2 linked regions of the Mytilus edulis genome follow. The protein of the gene in region 2 interacts with the protein of the main gene of each other region in a biochemical or structural test. Links are inferred from orthologs where the notes say so. Each region holds a gene or a part of one and is shown on either strand. Other genes may lie near its edges.

Region 1 (3,937 bases), on a different chromosome or scaffold from region 2:
ATTAATATTTTTGTTAACAATGGCTTATGATATCATTATAAAATTAAATTGTCAATCAACATTTTCACTTAGATTTTATCTTGCATGTTAATTTAATGGCTGTACTATTTAAAATAGTTTGTTTCTTCCAATTAAAAATAGATAAGGAAAATGTATCTAGCCACCATCGCCTGCCCATAGAACCGATAAAACTGTCATTACTATAACCTCAGATACTAAATAACTTAAATCACATTTTAAAGATTTATTGTGACACATTTAACCTCTGCCTTGTTTCAAAATATTTTTAATTGTTTTCTAGCATTGCTTGTGATAAATAATTTACTGATAAAATACAATGTCATGACCTTTTCTATCTATATTCAATGTCTGTCAACAAATTGTCAGTACAGTTCTAATTTTTGGAGGTGACCTAAAAGTTTAAAAGATTTTCCCATGAAGCTGATGTGAAGACCAAAATTTCATTGGACAGGTTAAATATTGAAATCCAGAAAAAGTCATTAATTGATCATTGAATAAAACTATATATTTATGTCAAACAGACAAATTTTTTATTCTTGATTTAATTAAAGACCAGAGTTCCAATGTCACCTGTGTTGCATATATTTTATATTTCCAAAGAGCATAAATCTTTTAAAAAGTAGATCGTCCACATTACAGAACTTGCCCAAGATGTTACAGATATATTAACCTATAGTATATTTAAGTTTAATAGTAATCTGACAAGAATTACACCCGTGAGAGCGCTAACAAGACTGGACTGACACACAGATGAACAGACACTTGGATCATCGGTATTTACATGCCCCTCGCAATGTGTTATGCGGGGGTGGGGGGCAAATAACTTAAATGAATGATACATGTATATTGACATGCCATAGATACATAGATCTTTTACCAAATAAGCAAATTCATATCTTTTTCAGTTGAAACATACAGAAGCCAAGTGTCGTTTTTCTTGCAAAAGACTGTTCTGTTGATGCTGGGTTTTTTTTTTTTTAATACTAGTAGTTTATAATTTTAACTTTGCTTTGCAAGTAAAATTAATTACACCAGAATGTTGTTAACTAAAGTAAAATTGCTGAAAGACCCCCTCCTAAATTATAGAAATCTATTATTTAACATTAATCATGGGGTTTTTTAATATTGTTTGGCCGAAATATAACCTTAAAAAATGCCCATGACTCATCCAAGGTGAATTATATTGGTATAATTTTGAACACACAACTCCACTACACTCTATTTCCTAACTCCATGTTTTCACTCCGTATCTCCACTCCACTCCACCTTTTAGTTCATGTCGTTAATTTTTGTACGTTATTGTCTCTTTTCAGTTGGTGTCTATTTTGGTTCTTGGACGTCGCTATCACAGAAACGTTTGCATTACTTTGATTACGCCATTTTGTTACACGACATTGTTTTGTTTGCCGGACCAAAAATGTTTCAGTCAACCAAAAGATCGTATGATTACGGAAATAGTGAGCATATTTCAAAGCTAAACATTCCATATTTTTATCAGTTTAAAAGTTTCATAGCCTATATGTCCAATTTATCTAACCTTGACTCGAACTACTCGTTTCCAAATTTTCACATTTTCCCAGAAAACAGACCTTAAGTACATGAGTGAACATTACATATGTGAAGAAACTACAAAAGAGGAAACGTACACAAGTGTTTACAGTGTCATTTGGGACACTTACTAAAGACTAAAGACTTGCCTTTGGAAATTTTAAATTAGAAAGTTACAAGATCTATGCCCCAATAAAACAAATTTTAAATCAGCTTCTATAGTCGCCGTCAGCTGAAATTCGTAGCGGTTATCGGTAAAAATAATCTAAACTATCAATCGCGTTCACTCGAGATATAGTTTTTCACATTCCATTCATAAATCGCATAAAGAAAAACCACTACTGACCTACCTTTTAAGTGATCACACTGTAATAATCCTGACCTTCACTTTTTCATAGACGATTTTGAATGGTGGAATCAGCCATTGTTTTTACCGGAAGTGTTTCCGTGGAGTTCAATTTCATAAAATTTGCATAAAGCGCGGGAAACCTTATCACATCAATGAAAGGAACATTTCAGGAATCTGCGTACAGTGACGAATGTCATATGTAAACAAATGATCCTCATAGAAACGAAGATGGCGGAATTACAATGGAAAATATTCTGGAAAATGTGAAGGTCAGGATTATTACAGTGTGATCACTTAAAAGGTAGGTCAGTAGTGGTTTTTCTTTATGCGATTTATGAATGGAATATGAAAAACTATATCTTGAGTGAACGCGATTGATAGTTTAGATTATTTTTACCGATAACCGCTACGAATTTCAGCTGACGGCGACTATAATTAAACATGGCCTTTCAAGGTGTCATAATTATTTTGACTAGCTGTGCACATGAAATGGGCTGGGGTATTAATTGCTAAATCACACATTCCCTGTAAAAATTTACTACATGTACATGTGAAGTTATGGCATATAGAGTGGAGTTCCTAGCAGCCAGTCTTCATGCTAAACCACAAGTCCTACGTCATTGGCTTGTAAAATTGCTCTTGTGCTTGTAAAATTCTTCTTTACAAACCAACAGAATCAGTGTTCTCCCCAGGCCGTTTGTACAACTCTCCAAAAATTACTTTTTTTCTCTTCCGGTAATACAAGAGCGAGAATTTTGGTTTAGAGCTAAAATAAGTTTAATACTTCTTTAACAAGTTATCATAATTGGCTTAAGTTAATGTTTAATCCATTCAATGCATTAAAAGCGTCTTATTCATTCACAATCTCTTGTCAAACAATGTTTATTCTCGGACTCATTTTCGTAAATTTTTCTACGGCCGCCATTGCACATTTTTGTGTAAACTACGGATAGGAACCGGACCAGATATGACAAAAATCAGCATTTTGACGATAATGACAACAGATGGACAGTAGACAGAAAAAATATACCAAGAGAGAAAACTACGCATTAACAGACTATTTGTTAGATAACTTTGTTAAAAATACATATCATTTTGATGTAAAGATAATAAACAACTGGGACTAATTCATTGAGTGCCATGAAACAATGAATTTCATAAACATGATAAAAAAGTTTTTAAATTGATTTTTTTTGCTACTTTTGCTACTTTATCTTTACTTAAAATAATAAAAAAAATAGTTAATTTTGTGTACTAGATATTGAGTTTTGTATATATACAGGTTGCACTATAATGAACCATTCATTCATTTGACTTATTGTTGAGTAACTGAAACCACATATTTATTTTTGTTTGGCACAAAAGGAAAAAAATAATTCTGTAACTATAAATGAATAAAGAAAACATAAATTGAAACAACTGTTTTAGTGGTTATAGTTTAAACGATTTGGTCAATTTTTTTAAATTTGACTTCTGTTGGGTTTGAGGGTAGTTTTGGGGGTGTAAAACTGACCAAAACAGTCTTTAGAGGTTGAAAATCGGGAAAAAAAATAATTTTAGTTTAACTCATTCACCCCTAAGAGATTTCTGGAAAATCAGGCATTTCCGAAAATTTGCAATCATATGCAAATTAGCAGACTCTTGATGCTGTAACTGCTGCTCATCTATTAAACTATGTATTGCAATTTGGGGGCGGATGGCATGGGTCGGTGGTGGGGTGGGAGGTGGAAGATTTTCTCGTGGGTTTGAACCCACCCCCACTGAAAAATGGTCATTTTCCGTCTATTTTCCGATTTTAAAACGAGCTTGAGAGGTGAACATTAACCAGACTGTGTCACTTTGTCAATCAAGTATTACCCTATAGTTACAGCAGTCCATGCATGCTAACTGGGAGAACATGGGACTTAAGTGTCTTGCTGGCGAATTATTATCGTCAAGTCAGGTCTGCCTAAATGTCCGTTTTTACGGATTTTTGACAAAACGGTGACCTAGATTTTACAGACTAGATTCCTATTGGCC
Region 2 (3,937 bases):
TGGTGGCATCCCAGGAGGAGGCATCATAGGTGGTCGCTAATGAATTGAAAAAACACAAATATTTTCAAGGGTTTTACTGAATTTATCAATTGCAAATTCTTTCATCATGTTCATTATTCTTGATTTTTAATGTTATAATTTCTGTTAACTTGAGTTTTTAAAAAGAAATTAACATTACCGTTACAGTCTGGCCAACATTCAAGTTTACTCTGAGGGACTTTTTGGAAAACTTACCATTCCTTGCATACCAGGTGGTGGTGGCATCCCTGGAGGTGGTGGCATTCCTGGAGGAGGAGGCATACCCTGATAATTCTGAGGTGGTGGTCCACCAGGCCCTCCTGGATGAGGTCCATAATTTGGATCAAATGGAGGTCTTCCAAATGGAGGTGGGCCTCGCATTCCTGGTGGGGGTGGACCCCTCATTCCAGGTGGTGGGGGACCTCTCATTCCAGGTGGTGGTGGGCCTCTCATGCCAGGTGGTGGTGGCCCCCTGTATCCTCTTGGAGGACCTCCTGGTCCTGGTGGACCTCTAAATGGTGGTGGTCCTCTGAAAGACATTCATTTTTTATTAATTACAATGAACAGAATTATCATATTTTAAGAATAAAGACGTCATTAAAAAAAAAGTTCTCAGTCAACAAAAATACTGATCTAGACATAACATAGATTTTTCAACATCAAATTCCAGTTTAGTTTCCTGTCAAAACAATGGCGACAATCACAAATATTTTTTGTAAAACAATGTGTTAGGGACTCAAGGGATACATCCCAGTGACTCACAAGTTTCAAAAGTGACACATTCAGCTGGATTTGTACAAGTCCAGGACAAGTATACACGTCTTAACGAGAACCTTGAGTGAGACTACACATCAGAACTATTTAGAGTAAGATTATTTCTGAATCTTAACTCTAACTGACCCCAATACTTTTAATTGCCTTGCCAAAATATTATTCTTGAAAAGGTGTTAAAGTGTTCTAATCAGACTTCAAGTAATCTGCTACAATAGTACATTATTGACTCAATTTTGTACTATTCAGATCAACACATATACTATTACTAGATTACAACAGGGATCTCCATGGCCTGTTTAAGGCGCCATCTTTCAAATGTCTTGCGTCATTGTCAAATGACTCGCGCCATCGTTCAATTGTCTTCCGCCATCGTTCAAAACTGTGATCGTTTTTATAGCCTGACGCCATTTTTTTTAGCAATTATAATTAAATGCATGAAATTACATAACCCTCAGGTTTTGTTTTTTTTTATAGTATAATCCAATAAAGTTCAAACGCCTGAGGGATATCCGGATTAAGATCGCTAATCACTTGTACCCGAGCTTGTTCAGGTAGATCAACAAACCAGACAGGAGAATATTATCTGAAGATAGACGATTCATTTGTCAAATTATTTAACTAAGTTTCCACAAATGCTTATGATAATTCGGATTAAATAAATAAATTAATAATCCAGTTACAAAGTTTAACAAGTCGACCACGTGCTTTAATTTTGACTTACGCAGCATCCCCCTTTTTAAGAAGTAAAAAATAAGACGTAAAACAGTAATTATTATTTCATCGCAAATAACTCGAGTACTGCTGTATTGTAACGATAATATAGAATTACTTTAAAAGTTAAAGAGTAAAAACTTTTAATATTTCTTGTAAAGAAATATCGTATCGTAATTCCGAATTCATTTCGTAGTTAACAATCAAATTGATACATCCGCGTTTCCGGTTTCTATTCAGACTCAAAAGATGAATGTTGCATAGCATCAATTTGCTAGATAAAGTCAATAAAAACCTTTTCATTTGACAACGTTTGCTTTACAAATCTTTTTAACTTTTACATAACCTGTACGACTCGTTTTGTCGTTGCTGCAAACCAGCCATACCGGTAATGGGTTCATGACTTCTGAATTTGACAGTGTCCGTGAAAAAAAAAGCTCCACATGATTTTTAACCCAAATAACAATTACCAAAAATAGCAAGAAAACTACATGGGGACCTCCGTGATAGCTATTGGTCGTTCTTGACTAAGGGAAAGGGAGGGGGCATGAGGGCTTGGCCTTTGAAGGGTTGAAAACGGCAATTATTGAAAATATGTATATACTTCTATTTAGAATTTATAATGAAAATTCAAATAAATATAATTTAAATAAGCAATGAATTAGCATGTTCACCTATCCTTATATGGAGGGATGAAATACTTCGATTGCGCTACACTGTACGGTGAAGATACGGTTTATGATGGTGAAAGTTCCTCCATCGTTCAATTTTCATCCATGGAGATCCCTGTACTTGGGAGTAAAATTCAAAACTATAAAATGTATGAACATCTGTTGCTTGCGCAAATATTAAGTGGATGCATGTGTAACACAGAATCAAACTTTAAAATTTTCAGGATTTTGGTCATGTGTATAAAGAATTAAAGAACTTCAGTGCATGATTGTCTCCATAGAAAAAAAAAACAGCAAATGATGTGGATTTTAATAAAATTGTGCGTTTTAACGGCTGACTTATAGTGACAGTTGTTCAGGAAAGTTAGCAGATTTATTCTTTTTGTAAATAATAAATAGAGAAAATTTTACAAAAGGGGGAAGTCCATGTCATTTTTGGTGAAAATTTTTGATAATTTTTTATCTCCATTTGTTGCAACATGGATGCGCACATCAAATCAAATTTCAAAGTTCATATTGGACTAAATGATAATATTGTCGCCTACGGAGCAGACAATAGTTTGGCAATTAAAATTATCCATACGCCGGCAACTGGATCAATTTTTAGCAACAAAGATGGCCGACCATACAGAACATAGCTTTCATGCTTCAGTTTTGGTACCTTGGTCCTCTCATATATCCTCTGCCACGCGGAGGGCCGTTATATTGATTTCTGTGAGATCTGAAATCACGATCACCATTGTCTCTAGGCCCATGGTCATGATGATCATGTTCATTTTGTTCATCGTCGCCCATCTTGTCTGGTCGCGTTTTTGTAGGCTAACTGGTTCCGATTTTCCAGTAGGTACCAGACTTGGTAGACTAACATAGGCTAAACTTGTTTCATCCTACGTCGTCGTCCGGTTTTTAAAGGCGTTTCGATCATACACCAAGTAATACTACTTCGGCTTTAGTCACGAGCGACAGTGTTCGAATAACGTCATATTAGAATACTTCTTCGGCTTTGGAATATAAAATATTAATATTGTCACGATTTTGGGACATCTCGGACCAACTAGTAAGACGAGTCGAACCGTCTTCACAATCACACTATTCTCGATATTGTCTCGATGTTAAAATCTAGGTTGAATTCGTCTATAATGCCAGCTCAGACAAATCATATCAAGAGACAGAGCTAATGCATATTTTAAAAGTTAATATGACTGTTTTTCGCCGAATGTAGGACAGAAAGTCACAGGACAAAAAGTCACAGACAAAAAGTCACAGGACAAAAAGTCACAATTCATTTTTTCTGATTATTTTCTTTGAATAAAAAATGCTTATTTTTACAAAAATATTTTTGTATTTTTCTTGATGTATTGTATATTAACCAACTTTGTAAGCAAAATTTATCAAAAAAATATCAAAGATGATCAAATAGTTGTTAAGAAAACAAAATGTCAAAGAAGATTGGCACTCAAATGGCTTCATGGTGCCAAGAAATATGTCTTTTGCATGATTAAAATAAAATAAATCTTCATTTTTCAAGTAAAATGATAAATTCCATTAACTTTAATATGAGTATATGTATTAAAAAGTAAATATTTCAAGATATTTCTCTTATATATTCCAACAGAGACATATAATACAATATTTATATAATTGTATTATATGTCTCTGATTCCAACAATTGTTGAAAAAATATTTGTGACTTTTTGTCCTATCAAATTTGTGACTTTCTGTCCGTTTACCTTTTTCGTCATCTTGGATTGCAAATAACCAAT

The links.
Region 1: the proteins of transcription elongation regulator 1-like (region 2) and splicing factor 1-like form a complex in vitro, tested with the Homo sapiens proteins (3 studies listed by BioGRID). The link is inferred for Mytilus edulis from reciprocal best matches to the Homo sapiens genes TCERG1 and SF1.

Annotation. Positions count from the first base shown.
Region 1 is NC_092352.1:75,383,743-75,387,679, forward strand, and holds the start of splicing factor 1-like, read left to right. Parts: upstream 1-1,287; 5' UTR 1,288-1,297; coding exon 1,298-1,478; intron 1,479-3,937. UniProt on the Homo sapiens protein: Necessary for the ATP-dependent first step of spliceosome assembly. Binds to the intron branch point sequence (BPS) 5'-UACUAAC-3' of the pre-mRNA. May act as transcription repressor.
Region 2 is NC_092347.1:74,834,951-74,838,887, forward strand, and holds the start of transcription elongation regulator 1-like, read right to left. Parts: upstream 3,033-3,937; 5' UTR 2,970-3,032; coding exon 2,836-2,969; intron 548-2,835; coding exon 235-547; intron 37-234; coding exon 1-36. UniProt on the Homo sapiens protein: Transcription factor that binds RNA polymerase II and inhibits the elongation of transcripts from target promoters. Regulates transcription elongation in a TATA box-dependent manner.